Pelodiscus sinensis: one gene and its partners. The protein of the gene in region 1 purifies or fractionates together with the protein of each later gene. This does not show direct contact. Links are inferred from orthologs where the notes say so. Each region holds a gene or a part of one and is shown in the gene's direction. Other genes may lie near its edges.

What was found.
Region 2: the proteins of POLR2B (region 1) and GPN3 purify together in Homo sapiens (co-immunoprecipitation; 3 studies listed by BioGRID and IntAct, counting the BioPlex papers as one, with this or other methods). This does not show direct contact. The link is inferred for Pelodiscus sinensis from reciprocal best matches to the Homo sapiens genes POLR2B and GPN3.
Region 3: the proteins of POLR2B (region 1) and CTDP1 purify together in Homo sapiens (affinity purification with mass spectrometry; 3 studies listed by BioGRID and IntAct, with this or other methods). This does not show direct contact. The link is inferred for Pelodiscus sinensis from reciprocal best matches to the Homo sapiens genes POLR2B and CTDP1.

Annotation. Positions count from the first base shown.
Region 1 is NC_134715.1:614,843-622,175, forward strand, and holds the start of POLR2B (DNA-directed RNA polymerase II subunit RPB2), read left to right. Parts: upstream 1-4,257; 5' UTR 4,258-4,400; coding exon 4,401-4,419; intron 4,420-6,099; coding exon 6,100-6,172; intron 6,173-6,816; coding exon 6,817-6,967; intron 6,968-7,333. Other genes in the region: NOA1 (nitric oxide-associated protein 1), read right to left, coding at 243-407, 2,788-4,030. UniProt on the Homo sapiens protein: Catalytic core component of RNA polymerase II (Pol II), a DNA-dependent RNA polymerase which synthesizes mRNA precursors and many functional non-coding RNAs using the four ribonucleoside triphosphates as substrates.
Region 2 is NC_134725.1:32,203,355-32,210,949, forward strand, and holds the start of GPN3 (GPN-loop GTPase 3), read left to right. Parts: upstream 1-4,555; 5' UTR 4,556-4,736; coding exon 4,737-4,784; intron 4,785-5,338; coding exon 5,339-5,447; intron 5,448-6,089; coding exon 6,090-6,257; intron 6,258-6,588; coding exon 6,589-6,713; intron 6,714-7,595. UniProt on the Homo sapiens protein: Small GTPase required for proper localization of RNA polymerase II (RNAPII). May act at an RNAP assembly step prior to nuclear import.
Region 3 is NC_134712.1:100,310,376-100,317,553, forward strand, and holds the start of CTDP1 (RNA polymerase II subunit A C-terminal domain phosphatase), read left to right. Parts: upstream 1-4,124; 5' UTR 4,125-4,272; coding exon 4,273-4,577; intron 4,578-7,178. UniProt on the Homo sapiens protein: Processively dephosphorylates 'Ser-2' and 'Ser-5' of the heptad repeats YSPTSPS in the C-terminal domain of the largest RNA polymerase II subunit. This promotes the activity of RNA polymerase II.

The DNA of each region.
Region 1 (7,333 bases):
CTGATCTAGTATGGCAGTTCTTATCTTTAATGAATTCTTATTCTGATATATTGTTACACTATCGCATACACTAATAACCCAAATCTGAATTGTATCACAAATGCATGCTGGCTAGCAATTTTTACTAATCAAGAGTGCACTTTAGATACTAACATACCATACAATAAAGTTTAATTGAATCTTTAATGCAGTATCACCATTTGCTCTTAAGATTTAAATATTCTCTCTCAGATAACACTCACCTATTAAATAACCTTGCTTTTTAAGGCATTTAAGATATTTTTGTTCATCACCACTAAGTTGTTCTTCAGTTTTTTCTGCATCTGCTTTTAATCTTTCCTGTCTTCTGAACAGCCTGTCAGGTGTAGGATTAATAATTGGAAATTTCAGGAGATTTAAGGTTGTGCCTGAAAAATAAATGCCAACGTTATCCAGGTCTATGATTGCGCAAATTAAATATAGTATATAAAAGCAATTAAATGTTAAGGTGCAAACAGTGAAAAAAGCCACATACAGAACAAATTTCACTGGCTTTATGATGGCCTCATTCTTCTTTATGAAACAGAAAAACAATTACACAATAACAAAACTAAAGACAACTGCTAAGTTAAAGACTCTTCTCAGAAATTACTGTCCACAGTGGCTAGGACAACACTATGATGTTGGACAACAGTTGTTAGCAGTTGTGTTAGCTTCTAGGAAGCCAATGTGCTGAGCATGATACGAATGGGTTGCACCTATACACACATCCTTTTGCAAAGAAACATTACTTGTGGTACAACTGCATGAAAACTAGCAAAATTCTTCACAATTAAGACCTAATCCATTTTGCCATTATCATGATTCTTATTTATGGCAATTAATTTACTGAAAAATAAACGATAAAAGCCAGACATGAAAACTATCTTTAAAAACTATTGCAAGTAAACAGAACTTTTATAAGAGCAAAACCTGGTGTTTCTTTCAATTTGCCTTTAAAAGTGATGCGCAGAGAAAATAGGACTGTGGTCATTTAGATTTGATTTTTTTTAACTTTATAAATTAATATCTTGTTTGTAGCTTTTTCCCCCCGGAAGACACCATGGCCTTTTTGAGACTAGGAAGGAAGATATTTTTTAAAAATGTGTTAGCTAACACTAATGCATTTTACAATCTTAGTACAGTGAATGAAATTGTATCATTTATAATTTTCAGACAGGTTGCCATGTTAGTCTGTTTCAGCAAAAACAATGAAGAGTCTTTAAGGTGCCACAGGGGACACACATTTATTTGGGCATAAGAGCTTTTATGTGCTGCAGTCCTCTTCATCCGGTGCATGAAGTGGAAACTACAATTAGGTGGGGAGATATACACAGATGCAATCTTGTTATAATCTATAACGTTTTAGCTAACCAAGGTCAAGATTATGGGGGAATGGAGTGTCAGTATGAGTGTCAAGAACTGTTACTTTGGGGCACCTACTATCTCAACAGGATGCTACTAACACCATTGCTAGGTCACTTTCCACACAAGTGCCAGACTCACTGAATAATGCCACTAAAAACTAGAGAGCCCTGTTTCAATTAATATTCTTCACTATTGAACGAGACTGGTAAATATTTTCCCCAGAGATTTTGAAGCGCGTTTGGCCAAATAATAGGACCTGGAATTTATGGGTTATGTTTTGAGAAACGGACATAATCCTGACATGGGACTTGCTATAGTCAGTCCTGGCCAGTGCCAAAAAGAGCCCCATTAGACTGAAGGACCGGGAAGAGGATTAACATCTGATATTAAAATACATCACACCAGTACTCTGCTCTCTGCAGGTCACTTTGCAGTTTAGTTCTGTCCTGCTGTCTGACTGCTTAGCCTTTTCCAATACTGATGCTGCCTGAATTTTTGATATTGGTAGAACGGGCAGCAGCGAGAATGAGACACCCATGCTGAAAGCAGAGAGGAGCTAATGTTTGGTTCTTCAATTTGTCAAGCAAACCTCTGAAAATGTAAAAGTTCTGCACTGGGACTGGACTACAACTAGGAGATGTGCTACTGCTTGAAGCCTGACAGATAATTCTCCTCCGTGAAATACACAGCTCTGAGCATCACCATAACATACCAATGTTGGAAATCAAATATAAGTGTTCAAATGGCAGATTTACTACCCACTTCTCAAACTAACCCCCAATCTTATCTCACAATCACAGCTCTTCTAAGCTGCCCCAAATTATTCCTTTCTATTAAATACAGCTACATCTAACCCTTAGACTGCATGCAGATGATTCCCATTGGCTAAGGCCAGCTTCACTAGGCTGAGTCAAGTTACGAGTTTTCAGAAGGTTTGAATCGTGCTGAATTTGAAGTTCTGGAAAGGCATGAGCTACCACCAGACAACCTTATCTCTGTGCTAACAAAGGTTTTTGCCATTTCACATAGCTAAAGCCTTTATCATAATGCCTATGCACGAGACCAACTTAAGGTAGCACAGGGCAAGCTTACCGCTTGCATTTGTTAGCTACTGAGTGCTTGATTTTGCAACCTTAAAAGTTCTTTTGCCAACTTTTTTTGGGGGAATGTTATTATATACATCACTACAAGATTTGCCCCACGTTACTCAGGTGCTTAACTCAAATATATCTGAAAGTCTCTCAAATATATAGTAGATAACACCCAAGAGTCTGCAGTCAAGAACAGGCCCCTATATAAAAGCCAGTTCTTACCCCAAAAAGAACTTGAGTTTTTTTAAATTCTTACCCCCAAAAAGCTTAAACGGATAATGACAGAAGTCCCCATCCATGCCCCTCTCACCTGGCCAGGGCGAGATTGTTGCTCGGTTGATCACCTCTGGGGCTTTGGACTTGCAGTAGTCAGACTGCAGCAGAGTATTGAACAGTGTGGATTTGCCAGAGTTGGTAGTGCCTATGAGATACACATCGCCATTGCACTTCCAGGAGCGCTGCAGCTTGGAGATCAGCTCCTCCACGCCATAGCCTGTCTTGGCACTGATGAGGTGCACATCCACCAAGTTGTGGCGCCCAGTCCTGTCAGCCTGGTCCCCAATGCCCTTGGCTGCAGGGAGGATGCCCAGGCGGGCACAGCTCTTCAGCAACAACTTTCGGAAGCGCTTCAGATAGTCTGGAGAGTCCCCAGGCAACAGGTCCACCTTGTTGCCCACCACCAGGATGTTTGACCCTGCACTCACCAGCTCAGGGAGGTCTGGCAGCACGGAGTCCGGTAGGTCCAGCATATCAACCATATACAACACCAGGGGGGACCGACCATGCCGGGGGGGGCTGCGCAGAGCCGCGCTAACCAGGCTGCGGTATTGCTCCCGGGTCACCTGCATGTGCTGTGCCTGCTGGTGATGGACCAGGAGCCAGCAACGTTGACACACCACCCCCTGCAGGGCCCGGTGTACCTCCGAGTCCCCCAGGGCCCCCAGTCCGTCTGAGCCCCCTGGGGTTCCCTGTGCCCCCAATTCCACCGAGCCCCCCAAAGCCTCCTGGGTCCCCAAACCTTCCAAGCCCACCAGGGGCCCCAAATCCTTCGACCAGCTTGGGGCATCTTGTGTATCCGATTCCTCCAGGCTCCTTGGCCCCCCTAAACTTTCCAAGCCCCCCCGCGGCCCCAGCTCCGCCGAGCGCCCCGGGCCCCCCCGCGGCCCCAGCTCCCCCGGGCCCCCCCGCCTGCCGGGGCTCAGGAGGCCGCGGTACTTGTCGCTGGGCAGGAAGCCGGGCGCGGCGGGGTCCCGGCACTGCAGCTCCGCCCCGCAGCCCGAGCAGCTCACCCCGCTGGGGGGCACCGAGGGGTCCGGCCGCCCCGGCGCCCGGTGCTGGCGCTTGGGCCGCGGGCCGCGGTCCGGGCGCGGGGGGGCGGGCGGCGCGGGGCCCGGCTCGGGCACGTACTCGGGGAAGACGAACGGCTCCTCCTCGCCGCGCGGCTCCCGCAGGGCGGCCAGGGCCCGGCGCCCCGGACACAGCGCGGCGGGGGGGCGCGGGGGGGCCCGAGGCCGGGCCAGGGCCCCCAGCAGCGCGCGGCTCAGCCGGAGCATGGGGGGCGCGCGGCGGCTCCGCTTCCGCTTCCGCTTCCGGCCACGCGCGGGGACAGCGAGAAGAGCGCCCCCTGCCGGGCAGTGGGTGCGCTAGGCTCCTCCCCTCCCCACTGCGTCCGATTGGCCCGCGCCACCCACGCGCTCCGGGAGGGGCGGCGCACGCGCGTTGGCCGCACGCCCCGCTAGGAACTAGTCGCGCGGTGGCTGTTTCCGGCGGAGCATAGTGCGGAGACGCCAGCCGGGAGCCGCACGCAGCCGCAGTCCGCGCCGGGTCTCCTGCGCGTGCGTGTTGGCGCTCCCCGAGTCCCTCCATCGCGGCGGCGGGTCCGAGTCCGTGGCAGCCGCTGAGGCCCCCCCCCGCACCGCCAAGATGTACGACGCGGACGAAGGTGAGCGCGGGGGTCCGGGCCCTGCTCCGTCTCCCCGGGAGCCCCGCGCGCTCAGCCAGGCGGGTGCGCGCGCAGGCCCCGGCCCGTGCCCGCGGCGTGTGCCCCCCGCGGGGAGCCCTGCGCAGCCTGGCGCCGAAAGGGATGGACCCGCCCGGCACTTGCATCACGTGCCCCGGCAGGGCCTGTGCGTGTCAGTCCCTCTGCCCCCGGAGCAGGCCCCGCCCAACGCCTCGGACCCCAGCCCGCGCGCTTTAGTGCTCTGCCCCAGGCACCTCCTGTGCGGGTTTACAGGCCCTTCGCAGCCACAGCCAGGGGTGTTAGAATGGGGGCAATGGACGAGTCAGGTAGTGGGTGGAATGTCCATCGCTAGTCAATAGGCACTTCTGCATTCCTCCTTTGAGATGTACAACAGGGGTTAGCCGGGGAGTCCCCGCTGACCCCGGGCTCCAAGGCTGCCTCTTTGAAACACGCGGCGGTGGCGTTTCAAAGGGGCAGCCCTAGAACCCAGATTCCCCAGCTGATCCTGGGCTCTTCATGGCATTTCCCCAGAACCCAGGGTCAGTTGGGGAGTTCCCAGCTGACCCCGGGCTCCACTGAAATGCTGCGGGGAGCTTTGGCGTTTCAAAGCATCAGCAGCACACAGCTGATCCCCGGCTCAACTGTGCAGCGCTGCCGCTTTGAACTACCCCATCCTCCTTCCTTTTGCTGCCTCTCATAAAGACAGCAAGGGGGAGTGGAAATCGACTAGTCTACTGATTATCTGGTAAGCAAATGCTTATTGGCTAGTCGACTAGTCCTTAACATCCCTAGCCCCAGCCAGGATCTCTCCCCTCCAGGGACAATCCCCAGCAACCCTAAAAGCAGCCTGTTAGATCCAGGCCCCAGCATGCTCTCAGTAACAGGCTGTAGCTACAACACAACAGCTCCTGGTCTGGAAAAGGCTCTACACCAGCACAGCCTGGCTCCTCCCTCCAAAATGGAGCTTACTAGCTCTCTTCGTCCATGCCTGGAAGAGCCACCGTTCCTTCCTTCTTCCCAAGGGGACTGCACGGGTAATTGGACAGGCATGTGACTGTTCTAATTTCAGCCACTACATGACTATTCCATAGTCCCTGGGGGCAGGGCCAGCAGCCAGTGTGCTCCCCCCTACTCCTGGCCCCATTCCTATGGAGCCCCCTGCTACCCCACACTGCTACCTCTGAAGCCCCAGATATCAATGAACACAAATGTTCCCCCTAATCTTTTCCATGCATGTGCTGATTTTTCCATCCATATGTGGAATAAACTTTTTATGTGCCCTGAGGCATGTGCCAAAGTGCACCTAGCTGTGGATCCTCTCCTAAGCATCTGGGCCACATTTGAATTTCTAAAACCAACTGCACAAGTGCACAGCTTACACTTAAGCCTTACAGGAAACATTGACCAACATTCCATGGTGCTAAGAGCTGAGCAAATACAGAAAAAAACATGGTCCCTGCCCTAAAGATCTTACAGTCTAACTATTACAGGAAAGCTATGAACAGAGCCTATTGTTAGTCCTCTTACAGGTTTTATTAAGCTCATTAGATTGTAGAAAAGCAAGGTATTTATGTACAGCTGTTGGGTAGTTAGAAGCTATATTCAGCCAAAAAATCTTGAATGAATAGAAAGACTGACCTGAGTGTCCTACTTTCTTGGCAGATATGCAATATGATGAAGATGATGATGAAATCACTCCAGATCTATGGCAAGAAGCATGCTGGATAGTTATTAGGTAACATTAATATTTTTAGAAAGTTTGATAGTAGTGAAGTAAACAGGAAAGTGCACCCTTAGCTTAAAAAAGGATCTAATATTTAATGTGATGAAAGTTCCAAGATTTCATATCCAAAATCATAAATGTTTTCTCTTTAAGAATGAAAGAACTGTTACAAAGAGAGAGTATGAGATTTTAGACCACTGGTCCTATGTATAATTAGCCAAAGATGAATGGTTTTGAAAAGTCAGAGCCCTCCTAGACAATCTGAAAGGTTTTTCTTGTAAATTCAGCACTAACACAATATTTTCTGTTACTGCTTGTGAGTGTAGAGCTACACTATGAGATTACTGCTAAGAAATGCAAAATAGTGAATTGGCAAGTAAAAGTCCCGAACACACAATGTCTTGTATGTGGGTCATCAGGGAACAAAGTTGAGAGATCGGGACATAAATATTTGGCTGTTTTTGAAAGTTTCTTTGGAACAATTGTATTTCAACAGTGTGCTGTGAGACAAAAACAAGAACAATTACATAGAGCAATAATGTGTTTTGATTAATTATAGTATGTTTATCTTGAATTTTAAAACCTCTTGATTACATATTCATAAACTATGTTAACTGAGAATTTTTGTTAATTAATGTTCCTGATTTTTTTCTAAGCTCCTATTTTGATGAGAAGGGCTTGGTCCGACAACAGCTGGATTCTTTTGATGAGTTCATTCAGATGTCTGTGCAGAGAATTGTAGAAGATGCACCACCTATTGATTTACAAGCTGAAGCTCAGCATGCTACAGGGGAAGTTGAAGAGCCGGTATGAGTTTCATTCTTTTAATTGTACTGATGTGAAAATTGTGCTGGGGACTCTCATCACAGTTGAACAACTGAAGGCTGCCGCAGCAGATCCAATTAGTGCGTGATATAGCTAAAAAGGAATGCATATGCTACCAGCAAGGGAATGAATGGATCACTAAATAAAGCAATGGCAAAAATAGTTTGTCTGTAACACACTTTATCCAGGGTGAGAAACACAAAAATGTTCAGCACTCATAAGTGGGGTCAGATATTCAAAAGGGCTCAGCTCCCATTGTTCTCATTTGGCACATTACCAAATTTCATTCCTTAACTCCAGAAGCTTGATGGGCTACGCATGAACAGAAAGTCTTTCAAACTTCTGGAA
Region 2 (7,595 bases), on another chromosome or scaffold:
GGGGCTTCCAGGAGTGCTGACAGGGCCACTGCCATTTGCTTTCCCACTCTCTGGGCCTCCTCACCACCTATCCTGCAGGGCCAGCTTCCTGGTCTCCCTCAGCCAAGATACCTTGCTGAGATCAGTGCCCTCCTCTGCCCCCAGGAAGCAGTAAAGATACTGAATCTCTTCTGGTCCAAGGAAAGGCCAGTTTAGGCCCCAGCTTCCTGAGATACCACTCCCCAAATGGGATCAAAACCCACCAATGAATTACTTGGGTAAGCTCCCTTTAGCAATGAAAGGGGAAATGTACACACTGGTTGCCCCTCCCTGCCAGGTAAAAATTATTTTCATTGGGCTTGATAGAAAATAAAGTGTTTTTATTAACAACAAGCAGTAGGATTTAAGTCAGGGCTACTCAGCACATGGCTTGTGGGTCACATGTGGCTCATGGCCCATTTATTTGTGGCCTGTGGTCTGATTTGGGTTTATGTGGCTCAACACGCGGTCTGCAGGTGGGATCCTTTGAACGTGGCCTCTATTGGGAACACACTCCACAATGACGAGGCATCTTCCATGCGGGGTGAGCACTGAAAGACACAAGTGGACAGGCTGGCTGGACCAGATGGGTACAGAGTGTCAGTGTTTCTAGTCCCCAGAGAGGAGGTGTCAGGAGCTGGGGCATTGTGGGAAGTGCTGGCTACTTAGCCTTGTGGGCAGAATCTAAAAAGTGCTGACTGGCTCACACTGGCCATGTTTGGGTCTAGCGCCACAACTTAAATCTTTGTTTTCATGCCAATAAGCGTGAAAGAAGTTATTTGCATATACTTGCATATATATTTACATGTATATGCAACCACACTTAAGCTGTGGCCCACTGCATGTGCTGTGAGTATCATTGTGACGCTCGGGGCTTCCAAAGTTGAGTAGCCCTGATTTAAGTGGTAGTAAGTGAGAACAGGCAGAGCAAAGTAGATTACAAATCAAACGTAACAAAAACTGCTAAGCTAATTCTGACACTAACTAAAATCCTCAGAACAAACTATAAACTCACCCTAAAACTGTCTCATTTCCAGCACAACCTTCCAAACCAGGGCTGTCCCTCACCTTGGAGCCTTTAGTTCACCCTCTTCACATCTGCCCAACCAGCCCAAAGACCCAGACTACTACCTTCCTATTGTTTTTAAAGATTCCCTCCTGGGAATTCACCTGGCCAGTTGGGGTGAACATGTGACTTTCCCAGACCAACCACTGCTAAGACTTAAAGGACAAAAGAAAGTGTTGGTCATCAAGTTGGTCATCAAGACATTGCATCTTTAATGCTATTCATTCACACATTTAAAACCATAAAGCATTCCCCAGTCCATATGTCTAATTTTATACACAAGAATGACACACATACCAAAATGAGATGAACAGATCTAGCAGATTAAGATATGAAGATTGATAGGTTACATGAAGTAATTTGCTCAAAGCACTTTGGAGTTATGTACATTTGTACCCATAAGTCCATTTCATAAAGCATCAGGGGGTCCATCACGTTGAGACTCTCAGCTTGCATCTTTCTAGCTCTCATGTTGCAGAGAAAAGGTACAAAATGTGAGCCAATGGTACCCAAAAGTTTCAGAAGCTAAGCCCTTGTCTACACTACAGAGATCATGTGTGTCCGATATTTTTTTGAAAGCCATCTTTGGCAGCAGAACACAGAGACTCCCAGTCCCCACTCCTGGGTGCCACAGCTAAGCGTTACACCAAGGTGACTCAACTTTGGAAGTCCTGGGAGCCACAATGATACCTACCGCACATGCTGAGGGTAGGGTTACCAGATGGCTTTCAAAATAATATCAGACATACAAGATCTCAGAATGGGGGGAGGGGAGGAACCAGCTGGGAGGGGTTCGGGGGAGCAGGGCTGATCGGGGGCAGGGGGCAACTGGCTGGCGGGAAGCAGGGCTGGGCGGGGAGGATAGGAGGAGCAGATCTGATGGTGGGGGGAGGGGGAGAATGGCTGGCAGGAAGCAGGGCTGGCCAGGAAGGGGTCAGGGGGAGCGAGGCTAGCCGGGGTGATTTTGGGGTGGAGGCTGGCCAGCGGAGAGCTGGGCTGGCCAGGAGGGGGTCGGGAGGAGCAGGGCTGTCCAGGGGAAATTGGGGGAAGGAACCAGCTGGTGGGAAGCAAGGCTGGCCAGGAGAAGGTTGGCGGGGGTGGGGCTGGCCAGGGGAAATAGGGGTATTGGGAGGCGGACCAGCTGGTGGAGAGCGGGGCTGGCTGGGAGGGGGTCGGGAGGAGCAGGGCTGGCTGGGGGAGATTGGGGGAAAGGAACCAGCTGGTGGGAAGCAGGGCTGTCCGGGAGAGGGTCGGAGGGGAGCGGGGCTGACTGCGGCGGTGCGGGGGAGACGACTGGCAGGCAGGGAGCAGGACTGGCCGGGCGGGGGAGGAGGGGTCAGAGGGGAAGAACTGGCTGGTGGGGAGAGGGCTGGTTTGGGCACACACAGATCCTGGAGTGCTGCCCATCCCGTGCATGGTCCCGGCAGGGTGCATGAGTGAGTCCGACCCCAGAGATTCCATCCCGCCTCACCCCCGCCCCCTCCTCCCTACTGCGTAGCTGTGTACTGCCTGGCTGGTAGACACGTTCACGCACTATGCAACTTTGTACTGATACTCAGGATAACAATAAAACTTACTTAATTAGAAAATACTGGACATTTATATGTCGGGTATTTTCTCAATTTGTTTCCCGGACAGAAAGCTCAAATACCGGACTGTCCGGTTCAAAACCAGACACCTGGCAACCCTAGCTGAGGGCTGAAACTTAAATGTGGTTGCATATACATGCAAATATATATACACTCAGCTTCTTTCACATTTTGGGCATGAATACAAAGATTAAGCAAGACCACATAACACACAGGCCCCATTTAAGTCAGTTGTGCTGATATTAATAAAATGCAATATTTACCCGATTTCCATCCATAGGACAGCACTTTTAGTGAGCAATGACAGTCCAGGACTTAAACTACTAAAACGCATATCACCAAAAAACCATTATATTGACTACTTTTTTTGGGGGGGGGCTCTCACCTGCAGGCCGCATATTGAGCCCTGCGTAAATCCAAACCACACCACTGGCCGCAAACAAACGGGCTGAGCGCCGCATATGGCCCATGGGCCACATATTGAGAAGCCCAGCACTATAACATGTACCCTCTCCCTCCACACCTGTTCTCGCACCTCACTCCATTCCAAAGCCTGTAACCCCTCACCCCTTCTTACATCCACTGGCCCAGCCCAGAGGCTGCACCAGCACCCAAATTGCACCCCCCCCACTCTCCCTCCCGCACCCAAACTGCACCCCCCCACTCTCCCTCCCTCACCCAAACTGCACCCCCCCACTCCTCCTCCCGCACCCAAACTGCATCCCCCCCACTCTCCCTCCCTCACCCAAACTGCATCCCCCCCACTCTCCCTCCCTCACCCAAACTGCACCCCCCCCACTCCTCCTCCCGCACCCAAACTGCATCCCCCCCACTCCTCCTCCCGCACCCAAACTGCATCCCCCCCACTCTCCCTCCCTCACCCAAACTGCACCCCCCCCACTCCTCCTCCCGCACCCAAACTGCATCCCCCCCACTCCTCCTCCCGCACCCAAACTGCATCCCCCCCACTCTCCCTCCCTCACCCAAACTGCACCCCCCCACTCCTCCTCCCGCACCCAAACTGCATCCCCCCCACTCTCCCTCCCTCACCCAAACTGCATCCCCCCCACTCTCCCTCCCTCACCCAAACTGCATCCCCCCCACTCTCCCTCCCTCACCCAAACTGCACCCCCCCCACTCCTCCTCCCGCACCCAAACTGCACCCCCCCCACTCCTCCTCCCGCACCCAAACTGCACCCCCCCCACTCCTCCTCCCGCACCCAAACTGCACCCCCCCCACTCCTCCTCCCGCACCCAAACTGCACCCCCCCCACTCCTCCTCCCGCACCCAAACTGCATCCCCCCCACTCTCCCTCCCTCACCCAAACTGCATCCCCCCCACTCTCCCTCCCTCACCCAAACTGCACCCCCCCCACTCCTCCTCCCGCACCCAAACTGCACCCCCCCCACTCCTCCTCCCGCACCCAAACTGCACCCCCCCCACTCCTCCTCCCGCACCCAAACTGCACCCCCCCCACTCCTCCTCCCGCACCCAAACTGCACCCCCCCACTCCTCCTCCCGCACCCAAACTGCATCCCCCCCCACTCTCCCTCCCTCACCCAAACTGCACCCCCCCACTCTCCCTCCCTCACCCAAACTGCACCCCCCACTCCTCCTCCCTCACCCAAACTCCATCCTCCCCACTCCTCCTCCCGCACCCAAACTCCATCCTCCCCACCGAGAGGCGTAGGCGGGAGGGCGGATCTGGGGGGGGGAGGGGTTGCGGGCTCTGGGCACCGCCAGTTTCTGCGGACCTGCCGCCCAGACGCCTGTGACCCACTAGGTTAACCCAGGTACGAGCCTCGGCGCCCCGCCCAACAGCCCACTCCGCCAGCAAAGCGTCTCCGCGCGTGCGCAGGAATAGTCTTCCACGTCCTCTCCAGGAGCCGAACGGGGCGATTCGGCCTCTATAGGAAGTTTGAGCTTTGGGACGCTCCGTATCCGAGGAGCTCTAGTGTGCGAATACGGCGTATCCGCCACGCTACGGGATCGCGGAGGGGTCAGTTCCTTTCGCTCGGTCCCTGCTGTCTCCGCGCTGCGTTGGAGAAACTGAGCAGCAGCCATGCCCCGCTTCGCCCAGCTGGTCATGGGCCCGGCGGGCAGTGGGAAGGTGAGACCACCCTTCGCCTTGTACCGAGGGTGGACCCGGGGCGTGCGGCGGGAATGGGGGCGGGGCATAAGGGGTTGGGGTAATTGAGGAAACTGAGGCATGGGAAACTGAGGCATGGGTAAGTACTTGGAGGCGTGGGGGTAAGTGGAGGGTTATGAGGCGGCTTAAGTGGAAGTTGCCGTGTACTCCCGTTGGCGTTTCTTGCAATCTGACATGGTGTAAAGTGGCGGTGACTCTTCTGATAAAATAGTCCTTTGTGGTAGCCTACAGATAACCCTTTGCATTGCGTTTGCATCGCTCCTTTCATCGGGAGACTGGACGGTGCTGTACAGAGGAGGTGTTATCCCCCTTTCACAGCCAGGGATACTCAGGCATAGAGGGGAAGTGCTGCATATGTTGGACGGTTACGTCAGGCAGAGCTGGGAATGGAATTCGGGTATTCAGATTCCCAGACTCCTGCTTTCAATATTAAGACTGTTGCCTCTACTTTCAGGTATAAAATTGCAACTTTTAGGTACTTTCAGTGGGTAATAAGATTCCTATTTAAATTACAGAGCACTTACTGTTCCACCATGGTTCAGCATTGTGCAGCCCTAAACCGCTCAGTGCAAGTTGTTAACCTGGACCCTGCAGCAGAATACTTCAATTATCCTGTGATGGCTGGTGAGTTGTGTTTGGGTGCATTGTTTCTTAATTTCCTGTACTCTCCGAACTGCTGAAAATGGATAGAGAATAGAACAGTTCTTACACAGGCTGAATCAGGCTTGAATATCGAGTTTTCTTTTTAATGACAAATTCAAATTTAATTCAAATTTGACCTGTCTGCATGTCAAAGCTGTTCCGATTTGACTTACAGCACTCTCCCGATTTTAAATCTGATTTTTATTTTTTAATAAAAGGATATATATATATATATATATATATATATTATACACACACACACAAAACTATGGTATTTTGAGGCAATATTAGTAGGACCTATACAATATTTTTCCTGAATCTATAGCAGTATTTTACAAACCTTTTAGAAATAGTCAGTGTTCTGGTTTCCCCCTATATATACATTTTTTTTGTCTGTTTGAAGGAATGGAGAAAAGAAACAACACTTTAAAAAAAACCCAGGAATTTGTGACTGTAAAATCACAAAAATTGGCAAAAGGCATGGGGGATGGGAGAGCTGGGGCAGCACGTGAAACAAATTTAGTTGGCGAAGATCATTTGGAGATTTAAACTTGTAGGAATTTGCTTCTGGAATTTATTTATGAAGTGTTGAAAAAAACACAAAACATGCACTTTTTATTCTAGACATTCGAGAATTAATTGAAGTAGATGATGTTATGGAAGATGACAACTTAAGGTTTGGTCCCAATGGTGGTTTAGTGTTTTGCATGGAATACTTTGCCAATAACTTTGATTGGCTTGAGGATTGTCTTGGCCATGTGGAGGATGACTACATACTCTTTGATTGCCCAGGTAAACAAGCTTTTATATTCTGGTGACTTAATTTTTTTTCTTATCTGATGTGTAGATTTTTTTTGCATGTATTTGATCATTTGCAGATAAAGCCTTTTTTAACTGTTATGTGGTTTAGTGCCAAAATGAAACATATTATTTTGTTTAAAACTGTCCAAGAGCAAATACTTCTTTTTAGATAATGCTATCACACATTCTGTGCTAGATTTCACTAATTTTAATAGCAATATCTTCTGCCTATCTACTATAATGGTATTTGATGAACTAATATGCTATTACTGTCTCAGCATTAGCTTTACACTCCTGCATATTAATTATGTATGTGTCCTAGGTCAGATTGAACTTTATACTCATTTGCCAATGATGAAACAGCTGGTGGAGCAGCTGCAACAGTGGGAATTTCGTGTCTGTGGAGTTTTTCTTGTTGATTCTCAGTTTATGGTGGAATCTTTTAAGGTAGGAGTTTTAAATTGATTGTAACAAAGTTTTTAATTTACAGATGAACAATCTGGAGAAATGAATAACTATATTCAGAATATGGATGTTAAATATTGGTGAATTGAATAGTCAATTAACCTCATGAATTCTTATTGGTTAGTCGACTATTCTATAGTCCCCAGGCAGCCCCTGTCCGGGGGGGAGGAGTCTGAGCTCCCAGACCCGGCACAAACCGGAACTGAGCCGGGCTGCCTAGCTTCTAATAAACTTTAAATGCAGAGCTGCAGTGGGGGTAGGTCCAGGACCCAGTGCAAGCCAGGGCTAAGCTGGGCTGCTGGCCAGCCTGCTAAAAATTTTACTGGCGGGGGGTGGGGGCAATGAGTGTAGTCTATAGCATTAACCTATAAGCTTTTGCTTATCAGTTAATCGACTGTACTGTTACATCCCTAATTCAAAAGCAATCATAGCATTTTTCACCTCTCCATTGTCACTCTTTTGTAAACTTAAATATTCTTTATGGCCTAATAGTCTATGGAGGTGTGGGTAGGAAATGGGAGTCATGAGATCTGCGAAAAATCCTTGAATGCTGACTGTTCACTGTATCAATTAACCTGTAAAATGAGCAAAATTGGTACTTGAAAAATGAAGTTCCTGAAGTAAGGGATACACTGAGATGGGAATCCTAGAACTCGCCCAGAAGTAGGTTGGCTTCTGACCTAACAATGTCCTTAGACATTGCTTTGCCTCCTACATTTCATATCTGTCTGTTGCTAGTAGGGGCAAAACTAGCAAAAGACAGAAATGAGGCTGTAGGGTAAGTTGTGCATATATGCACAAGACTGGGTGAAAAAGGCTGATGGAGTAAGTTGGAAAAAAGTATAGTACAGAAGGGGAGAGACC
Region 3 (7,178 bases), on another chromosome or scaffold:
TCACTCAGTATGGGTGAGTCTACACAGCATCCAAAACTCGAAATAAGCTGCGCAAATTGCGTACTTATTTCGGAATAGCTAATTTCATCATTTGGCGCTATCTACGGATTTTGAAATAAAGCACTATTTTGGGCCACTCCTTACTCCTCGTAGAATGATGGCGAAATAGCGTGCCCGCTATATTTCAAAATAGCTGACACATTTCAAAGACATGGGGCAACTATTTCAGAATACCTCTGGTATCCCAAAATAACTTTGCTTTGTAGACAGACCCCATGACAGCATGTGGAGCCTCTTGCCCAACTTAATTGCATGAATGCTCCCTGATGCACTCACAAATCACTAAGAGGACGTCTACACTGCATGGCTATTTTGAAATAAGCTATTATGTCTACACTGCAGGGAAGCCTCAAAATTAGTCTGAGGCAGGCTTCCCTAATGTAAATGTGATATCTCCATTTAGAGCCCCAGGAGGCACGGGGGAGGAATAACTTAGAATGGCCCTGGTGAGGGGTTATTTCAAAATATCAGCAGTGGAGCATCTACATATGCCTTTTTTCAAAATAGCTATTTCAGAATAGGCGTTATTCCTCATAGAATGAGGTTCACAGATCTCAGAATAAGCCGTCCGTTATTTCAAAATTATTTCGACATAACAGAATGGCTGTATAGATGCTTATGTTGTTATTTCAAAATAATGCTAGTTATCCCAAAATAACAGTGCAGTGTAGATGCACACAAAGAAAAAGGCACCAGCAAATCTCCCATGGCCCCAGCTTTATACTCAGGACTATACTGTCCTGTCCTGGTCAGAAATTTGTCTGCCACTCCCTCAATGTGAAGAGGACACACACTAGCCTTTGTAACCTTAAGTGACTACAGCGTGTAGTCAACCTGTGGAACTCCTTGCCAGAAGAGGCTGTGAAGGCTAGGACTATAATAGAGTTTAAAGAGAAGCTAGATAATTTCATGGAGGGTAGGTCCATAAAAGGCTATTAGCCAGGGGATAAAATGGTGTCCTTGGCCTCTGTTTGTCAGAGGCTGGAGAGGGATGGCAGGAGACAAATCACTTGATCATTGTCTTCGGTCCACCTTCTCTAGGGCACCTGGTGTTGGCCACTGTCAGCAGACAGGATACTGGGCTAGATGGACCTTTGGTCTGACCCAGTACGGCCGTTCTTATGACTTGATAAGGGACTGCAGTGCATGTGCAGATTTCCAAGCAAGTCAACAAAAGGCAACTTTGAAGATATGTAGCATTCCTCACTGATCCTGGAGCAAGGTGACTATGGACCTCAGCACTGCTGACTACTGATCTTGACTTTTCGGAGTTAGATGAACTATCAAACTCTACTGCAGCAACAATAGAGAAAAAGCAACAGAAAACTTTAGTAGGAATGGCATACTGGATTGTATTATCTCTGATAATGGACCACGATTCACCAGCAAGGAATTTGCTAAAGATTGGATATTTAACCACATTACAAGCTCCTCTAGCCTCTGTTTCTCTGGAGGAGGGACAGGGGAGGGATCACATGAGGATTACCTGTTATGATCCCTCCCTTTGGAGCATCTGGTATAGGCCACTGTTGGCAGACAGGATACGGGGCTAGATGGACATTTGGTCTTACCCAGTATGGCCGTTCTTATGTTCTCTACATTACAACAGTCAGTTCAATGGCAAAACTGAATCATCCATCAAAATTGCAAAAATTATCTTAGGCCGTGTCTACACTGCCGTTTGGTGCAAAAAATATGCAAATGAACTGAAGCATGGAATATCACCACATCTCATTTGCATAATTAATGAGGCTCTGTTTTTGCGCAAGAGGCTTTTGCAGTGTAGACACAGCTTTAAAGAATATGGAAAACAAGTGGCAAGTTATCCTAAAATGAAGAAATACCCCCACTGATGGCATGACCAGCAGCTGCTCTCTAGAAGCTTTAATATCCAGGTGCACATGCACATTGGTACTTACAGTCAATGTGCTATTATGTCCTGAAGTAATGGAAGGAGTCACAACTCAGAGAAACAAAGCTAAAACTAGGCCAGAGCCTTTCCAGAGCTACAATGTGAAGAAACAGTTCAGAGTGTGATTATTTCCTTAAACCAGATTCTGCAGATGAAAACAGGCAACATGTGTGGAAATAGATAAACATCCATTCCCATATTATTGTGGTTGATGAACATACATATAATTGGAACAGTAAATTAATCTGTCCAATACAGTTTCCTATAGCTAGAGGAAACCTGATATGGGGTGAGGAGAAAGGCAAGATCCTTCTAACCGTTATAATTGGATAAACTTAAAAACAACAAATAGTATGGCAGCACTTTATAGACTAACAAAACACATAGATGGCATCATGAGCTTTCATGGGCATAGCCCACTTCTTCAGATGACTGGAGTGTTGGAATTATAATTAGAATACACTGAATTCACTACCTAACAGACACATGACAGCAGTGGGACCACTAGAACATGCCATCCAGCACCATGAAAGGACTATCAAAATCAATAAGAATGACATTACAAACACATTAGCCTTTCCTGGCACCATGAAAAGTAATTGCACACAAAAAGACATCAAACCTCATGAAGTTAATGGTAAATCTTAAATACTTTAACTCTCCACAACTACATCATCAAATGTCATTGCATAAACACAGTCAAGTTCTGTTTTAATATTTGTTGTGTTCTCGTTTTATCATAGAACCACAAGGTGTTACTGAGATTTGCTGTCCTAAACAAACGTGACAAAGGGAACATTATGCAAGACAGCTTTTCACCCACAAGAGGGAGCTGCAACTAGAATTTCCAAGGACCTAAGCTGTAAAATCTTATATAACAGGATGTGGAAAACAAGTCTCCGAGGGATATGTTTGTATCTGCTAAAACCAGGAGTCCTTTGGCACCTTAAAGACTAACAGAGTTAATGCATGACCTTAGTCCAGATCACCAAATGCATCTGTACTTTTTATTCACGAAAATTTATGCCCAAATAAATCTGTTAGCTTTTAAGGTGCCACATTGCCAAGTCCTCTCTATCAGATCAAGAATCACAAAGCCAATTGATGGGCAAGCGTCAGCTGCAGCGGGTTTACCGCAGTGAAGATACTGCAGTAAGTAGATCTAAGTATGTCGACTTCCGCTAGATTGTTCACACATCTGAAGATGCCTTTACGTTCTTAGATTGACAGGCCAGGGCGGTGTAGACTAGAGGGCTTGTCTACACTGAACACATTCCACACAGCTGGGGCGATTATAGACGCCACTTCTGGCGCTACCCTGCAAAAAAAATCCACTTGTCCCAGCTGGGAGCCAGGTCAATAGGAGAATTCCTCTATCAACCAAGCGCTGTCTCCACAGGGACTTCGGTCAGGTTAACAACCCAGCTCGGAGCGGGGGTTTCACGCTCCTGACAGGAGTCAAACTGAATCTAAGTTCCAAGGGTAGCCCACGCCCCAGCATTAAGCCCTGGGTGGCCGCACACATCGGCAGAGCGGTGCAGGGGGGCGCCCGTTCGCGTCCCACCAGCCGCACTTAGCGTGCAGCACCCACCCACATTGGGCTGCAGGGGAATCGCGGTGTCCTCCTTCCCCGCTGCAAACTACAGAGCCCAGCATGCAACGCGCCTTCCCTTAAGGACCCGTCGCTCGGGCTCGCCCCAGCAACTTTAATGCGAGGGGACGGGCTCGGAGCAACGCATGCTGGGAGTTGTAGTTCCTGACGTGTTGGGAAGGTCTTCGCCTGCCGGGAAGAGTAGTTCTTTGGTCCCGCACTGTGTGCCGGGATTGTCTGCGCGTGCGCGGAGCCCAGGTGGTTAGAGCACCTATTGGGTTCCGGAAGGGGAGCACGCGCTCGCTGTTGAGTGTTGACTGTGAGGTCAGCACAAGGTGCCGGAAGTGTGGGCCTGGGGGGCGTGGCTGTCCCTTTCTCTCCCTGGAGCGGGAAGAGTCAATGCGCGTTGTGTCTTTCCTTCGCTGGCTCCTGGGAGCGAGTTCTGCGTTACTGTCTCTTTAAGCCCGGACAGGCGTGTGCGTTGGGCGCGCCCTGCGCGTGCGTATCGGGGCCGTGACCTCGCGCCCAGTCGGCGCGGCTCGTGACTGTTTAATTTTTTTTTTTTTTGAGAAGGGGAGGGGGGGGGGAGAATGAGAAAATAACAGCTCAGCGTTCGAGGCTATTATTGAGTTAGTGGCGCGAGCGTTACCATAGCGACCTTCCCCTCGGCGGCCTAGGGCCGGGACGAGCCGCCGCGGCCGGAGGAGCCATGGAGGAGACGGAAGGAGCAGGGGCCGCCGAGGGCCCCGGGACGGCGGTGACCGAGATCCGGGTGCCGGGCCCGCGGGCGCTGCGGCTGCTGGAGTGGAAGGTGTCCGCGGGAGCGGCGGTGAAGATCGGGTCGCTGCTGGCGCTGTGCGCGCCCCTCCCGCCGCCCGGCCGCGCCACCACCCCCCCGGCCCAGGGCCCCGGCGCCCGGCCCCCGCGAGCGGCCGCCGAGCGCCGAGTGAAGGCGGAGCGGCCCGGGGTGGTGCGCGAGCTGTGTGCGCGGCCCGGACAGGTCATCGCGCCCGGGTAAGAAGGCGGCTGGGAGCGCGGCCGCCCTGACCGCGCCGGGGAGGCGGGCGAGGGGTATGGGTGCAGCCGCCCCGCCCCGGGCTCGCAGAGGCCGTGCCGACCGGCCGCAGCATCGCCCGGCCCGGCCGAGCCCGCCGGGGCTCGGGTAGCGCATCCGCGAGAGGTGTCGGGCCGGGCTGTGAGAGCCGCAGAGTCTCTCGAAACCGAGCGTGTCTCCGCCGCCCCCCGTCCGCTTTAACTTCGTGGCTGCGGCTGGCGGAGCGGCCCAACAGCCACCGGCTCGCGGCGCGAATGCGCTGTGGCGGGTGTGGGAGTTGTTCTGCTGAAGGTCTGGTTCCTGAGACCTCCTTTTGCTGTTTGCTCCGCTGCGTGTTTTGAGCGCCTCTGCGCAGTGATCACCAGTTACACTGAGCCTCTTGCCTATGTTTTTGGTCATAGCCGCAGTCCAAGTAAGCTAGAGACTATCAGTCTCATCCCGTCCCCGAATTATAAAATTTCTCTCTTCCCCCCCCTCCCTCTCAGACTTGGCCTATACCTCTGTAGTTCACACGGTGCAAAAGTCTAAGTAACGTTCAAACACCAACAAGTTTTAACGGAAATTGACCACATACATTTTATTTGGAAAAAGTTATATTTCCAGGAAGGCAGATCTCAGTGTAGCCGCTGTTATACCACGGATATATAAACACAGCAATAGAAGGGATTTTTTTTTTCAGTCGCTGTAGTAAAAATACACCTCCTAGAAAGATGGTAGTTTGGTCTATGGAAGAATTCATTCCAGCAGAAAACTTTCACAGTCTCAGTGATGTAGTTAGGTCAGTTTAAATGTTAGGAGTACATTAGCCTAGTGCTTGATGCTGCCAACACATATTAAAGGGAAGGCAAAGGTGAGCTATAGAAACAGCTTTCATAACCTCGATATTTTCCTTTCTCTCTGCCTCAAATTCCTTATTTGTAATATGGGACACTAGTATTTCTGTAACTTGTAGGGTTATTGTGTGACTAAACTATTTCATATTTATGAACTGCTCAAGTCCTATGAAGATGGGTGGGATAGGAAAAAGTTTATAAAGACTTATGTTAATGATATATGCCTGGCGGAGAAAGGGATAACATAGTCTAATGGCTGGAGGTAGAAGATAGACACATACATCCTCTGCATATGCTCTAGAATGCCACTGAAATAAACAGCTGTCATGGGTTATTATTTAGTGTTAATACAGAAGTGCTTTTAACACAAAGTTGTGCAAATAGGTGCATTCCGTTTTTATTGTATTCTTGAAGCAGTAGTTTCCTGTTTGTTTTGTGTGTTGTGGAAGTGAAGATCAAATAATGAAGGAATCTAACAGTTTTCTGCTTAACAGAATAAGAAAGGAGGAAGTTTAATCTAGAGATCAGATTTGCTGTAATAGAACTTTTATTGATGACGACATCATTGCCATACGCTCTAAAATATGTGTATACCAATCCTATGCATTTTAGTGAATAGCTCTCAATGTGGAGAGATATTATATGACAAATATTTTCCATTGTTTAATGGTATTCACATAATTTTCTGTTGATTGACTTCTGACTTGTTAAATATGTTGTCTTTGTGTTCCCAGCTGGTGAATAGCATGTTTCAGGTCTCTGGGTTAAATTGAGCTAATGGCTTGCTACCCTACACTTCAAACAGGTCTTTCTCGACAGGAAGCCATTGAAACCTTCTACTTCCTTTGTTTTATGATGGCAAGTTATTTTCTTTTATTGCAGTTCTTTTGATATTTAGGTGGATGCAGCCAGGCCTGAACTTTCTTTATTGGAAATCATTGGTGTATCTAGAACATCTGCATCTTTTCTAAGATCCAGTAAACTAGTATATATAAACAAGACTTTTATCGGTCAATAAAAAAACATATAAAAAGACAGTTGAGTTCTTTTAGTAATTTTTATTCTTGTGATAGAATTGTGGGGGAAATTGGACTACAGGGTTCTACAAATGCTACTTCAGGACTAGGCAAGTATATTTTAAAAACCTGTTTTGTCAATACTAGTCTGGAACAAGTGTATGCCAGAAGTTTCTGCTGAAATTGTCCCAGGGCTTTGTGGCGGGAAAGATAGAGAGAGCATATGAGGACTAAAACTATGAAATGGTAAATTGGTATTTAGATGATGTAGCAGAGATGCAATTATTGTACCTTAATCAAAATCAAGAACATTTTTACCATGCTGTGTTGGTGCAAATATTTGTTGTTCTCATTTCTAAGTCATGGTTAAATTAACAAATACATAGGCTTATGTGACTTGAGACAACTTAATTTTTAGGGGGCTTGCACATATTAAAAACAAGTGCAGTATGGATCTGATACTTAGTTGCCAGGAAGTATAAACATTTTGTGTTAGGGTATGCACAAAAGTTGTGCACAATTGTGTGCTGAACTCAGTTAATGGTTGTCTCCTTGATTGGAATTACCAGATGTTTATATGAGACCCTTCAGAAAAGACATACACTGGGTTGTTATTCATTCATAATGCTTTAGTTGCCATGTAAGCTGTGCTTGGTGTTGTAATACTAGTTTGGGATACGTTTTTGTTGTCTTCTGGGGTTTTGAATATTGA